Linked DNA regions of Tamandua tetradactyla. The protein of the gene in region 3 interacts with the protein of the main gene of each other region in a pairwise test. Links are inferred from orthologs where the notes say so. Each region holds a gene or a part of one and is shown on either strand. Other genes may lie near its edges.

What was found.
Region 1: the proteins of UBE2E1 (region 3) and ZNRF1 interact in binary tests that used the Homo sapiens proteins (3 or more experiments, as listed by UniProt). The link is inferred for Tamandua tetradactyla from reciprocal best matches to the Homo sapiens genes UBE2E1 and ZNRF1.
Region 2: the proteins of UBE2E1 (region 3) and RNF25 interact in binary tests that used the Homo sapiens proteins (3 or more experiments, as listed by UniProt). The link is inferred for Tamandua tetradactyla from reciprocal best matches to the Homo sapiens genes UBE2E1 and RNF25.

The regions. Positions count from the first base shown.
Region 1 is NC_135342.1:69,506,163-69,509,907, forward strand, and holds the start of ZNRF1 (E3 ubiquitin-protein ligase ZNRF1), read left to right. Parts: upstream 1-961; 5' UTR 962-1,505; coding exon 1,506-1,929; intron 1,930-3,745. UniProt on the Homo sapiens protein: E3 ubiquitin-protein ligase that plays a role in different processes including cell differentiation, receptor recycling or regulation of inflammation. Mediates the ubiquitination of AKT1 and GLUL, thereby playing a role in neuron cells differentiation.
Region 2 is NC_135329.1:194,207,314-194,211,058, forward strand, and holds the start of RNF25 (E3 ubiquitin-protein ligase RNF25), read right to left. Parts: upstream 2,591-3,745; 5' UTR 2,483-2,590; coding exon 2,442-2,482; intron 106-2,441; coding exon 31-105; intron 1-30. Other genes in the region: STK36 (serine/threonine-protein kinase 36), read left to right, coding at 3,439-3,522. UniProt on the Homo sapiens protein: E3 ubiquitin-protein ligase that plays a key role in the RNF14-RNF25 translation quality control pathway, a pathway that takes place when a ribosome has stalled during translation, and which promotes ubiquitination and degradation of translation factors on stalled ribosomes.
Region 3 is NC_135341.1:64,541,275-64,545,019, reverse strand, and holds the start of UBE2E1 (ubiquitin-conjugating enzyme E2 E1), read left to right. Parts: upstream 1-1,541; 5' UTR 1,542-1,649; intron 1,650-1,787; exon of another isoform or gene 1,788-1,808; 5' UTR 1,809-1,892; intron 1,893-2,876; exon of another isoform or gene 2,877-2,992; coding exon of another isoform or gene 2,993-2,995; intron 2,996-3,028; 5' UTR 3,029-3,062; coding exon 3,063-3,214; intron 3,215-3,274; exon of another isoform or gene 3,275-3,745. UniProt on the Homo sapiens protein: Accepts ubiquitin from the E1 complex and catalyzes its covalent attachment to other proteins. Catalyzes the covalent attachment of ISG15 to other proteins. Mediates the selective degradation of short-lived and abnormal proteins.

The DNA.
Region 1 (3,745 bases), on a different chromosome or scaffold from region 3:
ATGAACGAACGAACACGAGTGTGTGAGAAACACTAGGACTGAGGTGGAAATGTACCTCTCAGATGCAAAATCAAAGTTTGGCCAAGAAACGTTTATTGAGTATCTACTGTGCCCCAGGCCCTGTGGTGCACGCTAAGACACAGGGTAAACAAAACAGGATCCTGCGTGGGACTACAGAGTTTCCCAAACCACTTGTAGCAGCATTATTCTATTTCAGCTTATTTCGTGCTCCCAATGATTTTGAAAATAACGTTTTAGCGAAGTAATATACCCATTTGCTTAAGCCCAAACCAGACTTTCTGATCTAACTAGTGTCCGCAAAGGCTGGGAACCACAAGTGTCCTAGTGCGCTGTTCACCCCAAAACTTCCTCAGCCTAAAATGCTAAGCTTCTTGATGCATATGGTCCTTGGAGCGTGGATAAGGGGATGGGGAAGCTCAGAAAGAATGGACAGCATGTCCACCAGAGGGTGCTGTGGGGGCAAATTTTTGCCAGGAGGGGAGCTTGACCATTGACCCTCAGAGCCAGGTAAGCGTATTGGGTAATTTTAATTTCTTCTTGGGTTTCCTTTTCAGCCCCTTAAACCATCACCGCCCTTTTCCATGCACCCCGCCCCACAACCACCACCACATTTGATTTCCCAGGAAAAACTGGCCACATTCTGGGACTTAAAGAGTGCTTCCGTTGAAGAGACGTCTTGCTTCTGTTTTTGACGCCCAGTGCCTTAGATCACGCAGGTCACAGGCCGACCTGGGGTAGGAGGCTAGGTGGCGGCCTCAGGGCCGTCAGCGGCCCGGGGCGGCGCAGGGGCAGCGAAGGGGTTAACCCGACGGGGGGGGGGGTGGGGGCGGGGGCGCGGGCCGCGCCTGCGCTCTGCCGCCCTCCATTGTCTCCGCGGCGGCGAGGAGCGCCGGCGAGCGCAGCCCGGGACCGAGCTGGGCGGCGCGGCTGGCCCGGCTGGCGGCGGCTGGAGCGAGATCGCGACGCGACACGACGGCGGCTTCCCGAGCCCCGCCTGGCCGCCCAGCGCCGCAGCTCACCCGAGGCCTGGAGGGGTCTGGGCCGCCGTCCACGGTCGCAGCGTCCTGAGGCGGGGGACGCGCCGGGTGCCCCCAGCTCTCCTCTGCCGCCTCCTCTCGGGCGGGCGGCCTCCTCCTGCGCCTCCTTCCCTCGCTCCCCGCGGCTCCCGCGACTTTCGGGAGCCCGGGGGCGGCCTGTGGCGTTCAGAGTCCCCGCCGGACTGCGCCTCTTTGGACCTTGAGGGGAAACATGCGTTTGCCTTGGATCGTTTTAAATTCTTAGTTTGGGATCCCCGCCCGCTTGCCTCTTCCACCCGCGGGTTTTCCCTTTTTTTTTTTTCCTTCTTTTTCTTTTTTCCCTTTTTCCCTCCCGCTCTCCTTTTTTACTCCCTCCCCCTTTATGCTCGCCCACCCCTCTCCCCGCTGCTGAGAAGTGAGGGAGGGTCTCGGCCTCCAGGTTCCCTCCCCATCGGGGCCCGGGCGAGCATGGGGGGCAAGCAGAGCACGGCGGCCCGCTCCCGGGGCCCCTTTCCGGGGGTCTCCACCGATGACAGCGCCGTGCCCCCGCCGGGAGGGGCGCCCCACTTTGGGCACTACCGGACGGGCGGCGGGGCCATGGGGCTGCGCAGCCGCTCGGTCAGCTCGGTGGCGGGCATGGGCATGGACCCCAGCACGGCCGGAGGGGTGCCCTTTGGCCTCTACACCCCCGCCTCCCGGGGGACCGGCGACTCAGAGAGGGCGCCCAGCGGCGGAGGGTCTGCGTCGGATTCCACCTATGCCCATGGCAATGGTTACCAAGAGACGGGCGGCGGTCACCATAGAGACGGGATGCTGTACCTGGGCTCCCGAGCCTCGCTGGCGGATGCTCTACCTCTGCACATCGCACCTAGGTGGTTCAGCTCGCACAGTGGTGAGTCCACGGGTGGTGGAGGCTTCGGAGGGTGGAGAACAAGGGAGGGCGCGCCGAGGCGCCCCAAACCTTCACGCGCGTGCAGAGGTTTGGATATGGAGCGCGCGACCTGAATCTGTCTGCTTTCCCCTGGTTCCGATCCCGAGGGATCCAGAAAGGAGGCTTCCGAGCTCGGAGCCAGGCGTTTTAGGACTTGAGGCGTTTGTTCACTTGTGGTAGGGCAGAGTGAAACCTGCCTCCCGAGGTCCCATTTATTGGTATCAGAATCCTCAGAGAAGAGGTCTTGTCTGGCTGGGAGGAAGTCAGCTTGGGTGTCTCTAGCACTGCAGCATCGTGTCTACCTCGCCATTAACAGAAAAAAGGATCCACTTTGACCAAGCAGTGTCTTTTAAACAAAGCAAAGGGTGTGAAAAGAAATATAATTGGGGGGGCAACTGGTGTTTGCATTAGGGCTCTCACCCTTCCTGGGAGAGAGGGTGCCCAGTTTTGCTGGAGATCTGTTTGATTTGTTTAATGTGGAGCAGCCGGTGAGCTTCTGGCAGAGACAGGTGTGGCCTGCTGTATTGAGGGCTCCATCCAGGGAGCCTCCCTCTGAGGCTTTGCGGGACCTGGCTCTGGTCACCCGTGTAGCATGCAGTAAGCTCTGCTCAATGGCTCTCACATCCCTCCATCTTTTTTTCTTCCCCTCCATGCTAAGTGTTTGCTCTTCCCATGAATCTGCATCTTTTCATACCAGAGAGCCTGGCAAGGTGGGATTTTCTTGCCTGGCTATTGACACATGACAGGGGAAGAGGAGGATACAGAGAACCTGAGTGAATTCATCTTCTGAACTTCTGGGCAAAAGGTTGGAGGAGGGTTTCCCGGGCTGTGGCAGGAGCTCCTGGAGGAAAACAGGTCTTTTGCTCAGCTAACCTGAAAACCCAGGTTAGGTGTCTAGAAAATTGCTTGAAAAAGGGTGTAGAACCACTATCTGCTGATTGGCAAGTCGAAGTGAATAAGTTACACATTCAGATTGCTTTGGGAGAGTTGAGAAAATTTAGATATTTAGGATAAAAATTGCTTCTGCCCTTCAGGATACTTTATGGAAGCTATATTTTTTGGATCGTGTTTTAGCTATTGTGAAATAGGGCAGACTTTTTGCATCCCTTTTTTTACTGGAAATAGTCTGAATTTGTTTTTGTTTTCAATTCTGTAAACTTGAATTTGTGAAATAATTTTTGAGGGAAATAGTGACTGATTTAGAGTGACTCTTGAAAGTGACTTTTGGATTGTGAAGGTATTTTAATCTCTAAACAGTCCTCCAGGTATCAGTGGGAAGTCTCTGACCTGTATGAGACCCTGCCCTGAATGCAATGTAAGGCAGGATGCCTTTGGCACTTTTAGGCATTTGATCAGTTTTAGGCATCTTTTTTTTTTTTTAACTTTTTATTGTAACTTACATACAATTCAGAATTTCTGTATTTAAACAATTTCATGTGTACAATTCAGTAGTATGGATTACATTCACAGTATTGTGCCACCATCACCAACATAAATTATCCCAGTTTTGTCTTCACCTCTGTGCTCATTAAGCAATAATTCTCCCAACCCTACCCTCTGGTAGCCTGTAATCTACTATCTGACTCTATGAAATGTGCTTTTTCTAGGAGTTTTCATATAAGTGAGATCATATAATAGTTGTCTTTTGTGTCTGACATGTTTTATTCAATCTGATGTCTTCGAGATTCATCCATGTTGTAGCGTGTATGAGAGATTCCTTTTATGGCTGAATAATATTCCATTGTGTGTACATACCACATTTTATTTACCCATTCAT
Region 2 (3,745 bases), on a different chromosome or scaffold from region 3:
GCTCCTGCCCACCCCTGGTTGAATACGTACCTGCCATTTCCTTTAACCACCTGTAGTTCATCCAGATAGATAGACTCTAACACTTCAACTTCAGAGAGAAGGACCCTAGAGAGACAGGGGGAGACTGGCTTAACACTACAGCTCTCCCTGCTGAAGCCTGCTAAGGCCAATAAAGGCTGGCTTTATAGAAAAAAGTGGCAATCCATTATATGCACTCCCTTGCTATTTTTTAAAGATAAAAATAAAGGAAATAAGCTGCCTTAAGTTGTCAAGGTGCAAGGTAGGAAGCATGGAAATCAGAAGCTGTGAGATCACTTCTAAGACCAATGAAGGCTGGCTTTATAGGAAAAAATGACAATCCGTTATATGTATTCCCTTGCTATTTTTTAAGGATAAAAATAAAGGAAATAAGCTGCATTAAGTTGTCAAGATGCAAGGTAGGAAGCATGGAAATCAGAATCTGTGAGATCATTTCTGCCAACAGTTGAGGCACAGAGGTTTAATACCTCAATCTCAAGCCTTAATAGAAGACTAACTGGGACCAATGCAAGGTTTTTTGACTGCCCATTTAAGTTTCTTTCCAGTGCTGGTTGTTCCTTAGCAGCCACCTCTCTGACCCAGAAACATGATGTCCATTCACAGCATCAAAGTAATCAATGCTACTCCTGGTTTTTCGCACGCCACTATTGAACACAGATCTCAGACAGTGCCCAAGCGCCTTCTCAAAGGAGATACCAATCTGAACAGGACCGTAGGTTTAGGTAGTATAAAGGCTATGTTGTAGTGGAAAAGTTATTAATAAGACTTGGGGTCAGTCATAGCTACAGATCACTCAGCTACATGATCTAGGTAGTTATTTATCTCTGTACACCGAGTTGCTCTGTTTACCTCATATGGATAATAACACCCAATCCTTAGGGTTACTGTTAGGATTGAAGGTGATTTGTGTATGCAAAGTGTCTAATAGAATCTGGGCCACAGAGTCTATGTCCTCTTTTTTTCCATTTCCCTTCTTTTTAAGGTGGAAGGATGTAGTCAGCAGAGAACTCTAGATATATTTATGACACTGGCTAGAAATAAGACGATATATATTTAATCTCAGAAACTGCAGAGTTATACAGCAACACTGAAGATGAGTGGTTGAAGTCCAGAGCTCTACCCAGGTAATACATGGAAAGATGCATGCATTTGTTTGCTTTTTCTTAAGTTATACTGTTTCCTCCTTACCAACAGCAGGACTGCTGTAATACGGCCTATATTTTAGTGGTCCTCAAGACTTTCTTTCCCAGTCTTAGGTGGAAATCCCAAAATATAAAATAGGTTAACAGTGGAGTTTTTTGGTTGACATGGGAATGGGAAGCTCAGAGCACCACAGGTTAGCTTCTATAGCTACTGCTGCCCTCTACATGGCTTCAGGTGTCTCCTCAGAGTCTTAATGTTCCAATGAACAATTTGAAAACCACTAACCCAGATAGTGTCAACAAAGGCCAGCAGTGACTGGGTTCCCTGAACCAATGAAATGCTGAGCTATGTAGTCTCATTCTGTGCACCCTTCAATACTTCACCCACCCTAGCTTTGACTTGAGCCGTGGATGGCCTGTATGGAGCAGGACTGTGAAATGCCCTAGTATTGTAAGATTTGTAGTCAGAAAAACCTGCATCCCTAGCTGTAAATATGTACATTTTGCAAATCACTTCATCTCTTATCTAATCTCCTCAGCTGCTTTACCTCAGAGTTATTAGTGAAAAGGAAGCATATGTATGTTACAAACCCATACTAATTCTCTCAAGGATTCTATGCAGTAGAGGCCACACCCACTTCTTTTTATAGCTGAAGATACTGACTCACAGAAGCTAGGTGATCAGCATTACAAAGCTAATAAAATGTGTAATAAACCCACACTGATCCTCCTTCCAAATTCAAGAGTCCTTCCAGGTTCTAGTCTCTTGTTAGGAATGCTTGCGATAAGGACTAGGAAAGATTGTGTAAGGTGTAAAGCTTTATTCAGACATACTCCTCATTAGTGCTGTAGGGGAAGGAGAGGTTAAGAAAGGCCTCGGCGGATATAAGCTGATCCAAAGGGAAGTGATACACGAGCCGTAGGGCACTGGCTCCCAGAGGTACAAGGGAGGTGCTGGGGAGTCTGATGAGCAGGCATCCCATGGACCCCTGAGCAAATGCAGTTCAAAAGGATGGACAGAATGGAGCCGGAAGGAAGAAGAAATCGAATCAGATGAGACCCGGCCCAGACCCAGTTTCCTCTTACCATGACCCATGCCCTCCACCCACCCGCTCCCCAGTCCAGACGCTCTCTTAGGGTGAGATGTCAGCTTCTGTGCTATCTCTCAGCCCTCGTTCTACTTCAGCAGCCCGCCGTAAGAACCCTCCGCGGCCACCGCTAAACCAGGCAGTCAGCCAATGCCCATTTCCCCAAAGTTACCAGTCCTCCTCCCCCGCAGCTGCCGACTCAGACACCGCCATATCTCCTCCAGTCCGCAGCCGGAACCGGAAATGTTCTTGGGGAGGTCGGGAGGCAGAAAGCTAAAGGGGGGGGGCGGGGACTAGAGACTTGAGAGGAGAACGTCTAGCGGCGTTTCTAGGCAACCGTAGACTCCGGGTCCTTAGTGGGGCCTGATGACCAAGAGAGATTCGGAAGTGCCCTAGGAAGTGCCTATGGGTAGGTCACTGTCTCGCCCATACCTCTGAACGCCGTGTCTTCCGAGACTCTATCTAGTGCTAGTGAGTAAAATTGCCAAGAGTGAGCGTCTAAAGAAACCGGCAGTGAGGGTGGAAAAGGATTATAAATCAGGCAAAGTACGTCGGCAGCTAGAGGGGGCGGGGCTGGAGGCCAGAGCTGGCGTCCCTCGGCTTAAGGGGCTTGAAGCTCCTGGGCTGGGGGTAAGAAAGGAGATTTCTTCTGCGCTGTGTGCGGGCATGGGGTTAGGAAGGGGGTGTTGGGGAGTTTGTGAGTGGCATGGAACCTAAGGGAGGTTGGGAGGGGATGGGAGTTGACTGCGGAGGGTCTAGTGGCGAGGCTGTGTCGAGTAGGGAGGGGTCAGGAGGTCGCGGTTTGGGACGGGTGGAGAGATCGGGTAGCCCAGCGTGGGTGGAAGGTTTGGTGGGCGTGGCTGGGTCGAGTGGGGCGGGGTCTGATGATCTCTGGAATAGGTGAGGGAGGGGCAAGGAGGCCTAAAAGATGGAGATCTAGGAGATGGTCCATTTGTCTTAAGACCTTGTCCTTCATCTTTCTGTCCATTCCACCCTCCCATGTATTTGAGGGCTGTATTATTGTGAAAGAGGAAAAGGCAGGACGGCTGAAGTTAACCCTTCTCCCATATCCCAGCTAGGCCTCGCAGATGTGTGGAACTGTTCCTGCAGCTGTGGTCTTTCACCACCATCTCTGCCTCCTTCCTTCTGAGGGATCCTGAAACCTTGTTATGGAGAAGTACCATGTGTTGGAGATGATTGGAGAAGGCTCTTTTGGGAGGGTGTACAAGGGTCGAAGAAAATACAGTGCTCAGGTGGTGAACCAAGAGGGATATCTTTTGGGTGGGATTCCTACCCCCAGACTCCAAGAGAGGGAGGATCAGTGGGGAAAAAAAGACCAGAAGAGAAGTATTCATACTGACCCATCTTCCTAAGGCATTGACTCATTTTGCGAGTCAATAGACTCTGCGTTTAGATTGTCTGGGTTCAGATCCCCACACCACCACATTCTAGCATTTGAACTGTGGACAAGTTATT
Region 3 (3,745 bases):
TATTTTTAAATATTTGAAATCCAAATGTTCATAACAGGGAGTCTATATTTTAATAACTGCATTTATGTTATTTTCCTTACCCAAACTGAGTTTATTTAATCTGTTTGCTGATTGTTTTCTCTTGGTTTATATCGTTTTCATTAGAAGTACAAAAAGTATACAACTTATTTTCAAGATTTTTTTGTTTGCTTTCAAATCCAAACAGCATGAATGTCATTCTTTTTTATATGCTCTACCCGGACTCCTGAAACCAAACTCTGAGAAAGGTTATCTCTGGAAAACGTTTTCAAATCTAGTATATGCCTTAGGGTGGTTAAGGGATAGCTCTGTCTGGAGTAGGAGACTGAAATGATGACCTACAAAGTCTCTTTCAGTTTCTGGACTCCTAGATTCTATGACAATTCTTGGTAGATAAAGGTTTCCTGGTAAGGATTGAGCAAGAAGCATACCTTATTGCTTTATGAATCTTGATAAAGTTGGAGTTTCAGGTTGAAGGCTAGAAGAAGTAAATTAGCTGGGTAATGAGAATGCTTGTTTTCCTGATTCCTATGCCATGGGTTTCTACATTTTGTTGTGGTGTCCTGTGGTGAGTGAAGCCACTGTTGCCATGGAAAATGATGGCAATTTGAATGAAGTAATTCAGAGTGGCCCCTGGAAAACTGGACTGGGCTGTCTACTTCATGTATAAGACCTTGCACAGCACTGTTTGTTGTTATTTAGATGGAAGACATCTCTTCAGTTCCCTTCAATTGAAATGGCAAATAGGTGAGAAACTAAACAGTAATTTGATGGTTTAATACTAAAAAAATAGTCTTGGTAAAAACGCAAAGTAAGGATTAATGCAGAAAAATTACTAAGTGATTTTTCTAAAAATATTATTATTATTTGAATAACATTTAAAGTTGAGGCTGAGGAGGTACAAGGGACCCCAGAACTTTGCATCTAATTTCCCAAAATCAAACTTTCTATCTAATGTAGGTTAACACCAAAAATTATCAATCTAGTCTAAGTACCTGGCTTATTCTCAGTGATTTCTTGCATTTGCAAACCTGTCACACTTTGGTTTTACCTGTCATGAAATCCTTTGTATCATTAAAAAAAAGTCACATTGATTTCTATTAAAAAAAAAAAAAAACTGGAAGAATCCTCAATTTTAAATATCATGTTCCTCGTGCCCTGAACAGAAAACTCCCAGTTTGGGATTTTTTTCTCAAAGGCGTGCGTGCCTAAACTCTTAGCAAGTAATTTGCCACAGGGAGAAGCAAGTGTTAGCCCAAAGGAAAACCCCTTCTATGGGGTTTTCTTTTTTCCCTTTAAGCTGATCACTTTTTAGGAGGAGTTCCCGCTGCATTCTCTAGTCCAAAGTCCTTGCCACCAGATTACCATCTTTTCCACCAATCTGCCAAAGCCTTCATTGGAAAAAACTTCCTCTCTAGTGTCCCCATATGCATTCAGTTCCAGTAGCTCCCTGCGCCCCCATTTCGGACTGGCTTTCAGGATCCAGTTCCCCAAACCACTTCAGGGAAAATTCACACCCTTAGCCCCCTTCCCGGGTGTCCGGAGGAGGCGCCGGGGTGGGAGTCGTGTGGACCGAGGGGGCCGGGATTTTCCGGGGTCCCCGGTGTCCTCCTCGTGTCCCCCACCCCGAGGTGTGCAGGGGGGAGGGGAGCGCGGGTGGGTGGGACTGGGCCGTGTGGGGGAGGGGTGAGGGCGAGGAGGAGGAGGAGTGTGTGTGCGAGCGTGTGTGGCTGGGGGAAGCCATTGCCTGTTTAATAGTTGCTGTTGCTGCACTTCCGCTTCTCTCCCAGCGAGAGAGACACGAGTGGCCAGGCCCAGCCGCAGCCGCAGCAGCAGCCGCCGCGGCGGCACGGAGGAGCCAGACACAAAGAGAGGTACGGGGATCCCCCCGCCGCCTGCCGCCCCCTGGCCGCGCCGCGGGGCCTCGGGGACACCCCTTGCCGCCTCTCCCGACCCGCGCCGCCGGGACCGCCGGGCACGGGGTTGGAGGGGGACGGCGAGGGGCCCAGGAGCCCCAGGGGTCCGGGGCCCGCCCGCGGGGGATGGGTAGGGACCCCAGGCCGCGTGGGGTGCGGGGGCAGCCCGCGTCGGGGGCGGGGGGGGGCATCGTGGCTCGAACTGTCAGCGCTGCCCCGGGAGCCCCCCACTGGCCGCCGAGGGGGCCGGGAGCGGGGGGAGGGGAGTTGGGGGAGCCCAGTTTTCCCCTGGGGTGGGGGCCCGCGGGGATTAGCCCTCCTGGGAGGGCGGACTCATTGTTATTCCTTCGCTGCGGAGGCCGAGTTTCCCCCCACCCCCACCTCCCCAGGGGTGGCGGTCGGGCGTGGGCTCGGGACCCTCAGCCGCGGCCCTGGAGCCCGACTGGGGTGGCCCAGGGGCAGGCCAGCAGGGAGGGGCGTCGGGGCGCAGCGCGTGGCGGGGGGGGGGGGCTTGGGCCTCGTCGCCCCTGCCCCCGCCGGCCTCTCCCTTCCCCCACCCGGGCACCAGCTCCCCGCCTCCGTCCCCCCGTTTCGGCTTCCTCTCTTACTCCTCCCTGCCCCTCCTCTCTTCCCGACCTCGCTAAACTCCGCTCCTGGCCGCAGCACCTCGCTCCGGCCCCCGGCCCCCCGCGACCCTCGAAAAGCCGACAAAAACAGCCCCGAGGCCGAGCGGCCGTCGGGACCTTCCCCCCTGCCCGGCCGAAGCGCCCAGTGCCCCCGCCCTGTCCTGCTCCTCCGCCTACTCGGCCTCTCCCCACCCTGCCCCGAGGGGAGCCCCGGGGGGCGAGGGAGGGGCCGCTTGCTTTACTGCAGACCGTTTTCCCACCGCGTCTCCGACTGGAGCCAAAAATAAACAAACCCGCCGTATCGGATTTGCAAAAGCCTTAATGCGGCTGGAGACTTCGAAAAGCGAGTGGAGGCCGGTGGGCGCCCGGGGGTGCACTCCTTGGCCCGTGCTCTCCTGACAGCGCCCGAGTTCCTTTATTTACACCGGCTGTATGGTTTGTTTCTGTTTTGTTTCCCTCACCCTATAGGGGCTGTTTGTGGGGTGGGGTGGGGGGGTTCGCTATGTCGGATGACGATTCGAGGGCCAGCACCAGCTCCTCCTCATCTTCGTCCTCCAACCAGCAAACCGAGAAAGAAACAAACACCCCCAAGAAGAAGGAGAGTAAAGTCAGCATGAGCAAAAACTCCAAACTCCTCTCCACCAGCGCCAAGAGGTACGGTACTCTTCCCACGCCCCCATCCCACCCCCACCCCGGAGGCTTCCTATTTTCTGAACCTTCTCGGCTTGGTTTGGTCTGCCACCCAAGTGAAGGCAATTTAAGTGTCCTTCATGGTTGTTTTATGTGTTCTTAAAATTGAGAAAAGGGCCTTAGAAGCCCTCATTACTTTCTCTCTGGCTTCTTCTTTTTCTCTTTTAATTATTGTCCATATGTAGTTTCTGTGGTTTGCCTCTCCTATATCTTATTGAGGTTTGTAAGAATCCTCATTACCTTTAACAGTGACCCCCAAATCTGATTTCATATTACTTGTCCTCTTAATCACTGATCTGTCACCCTCCCTACAGCTGTCATCCCTCTTGTTAATTACTAATACCTGCCTGGACAACTCTGTATCACAGTGAGTTCTATTACCCTCTCACTTCCTCCTCACCTGTTGCATGTATGATCTTTTTTGAATAGAGCTTTTTCCGCAAATTGCATAAGGAACAAATAACTCATATCAGTAAGGTAGAACATTTAGGAGGT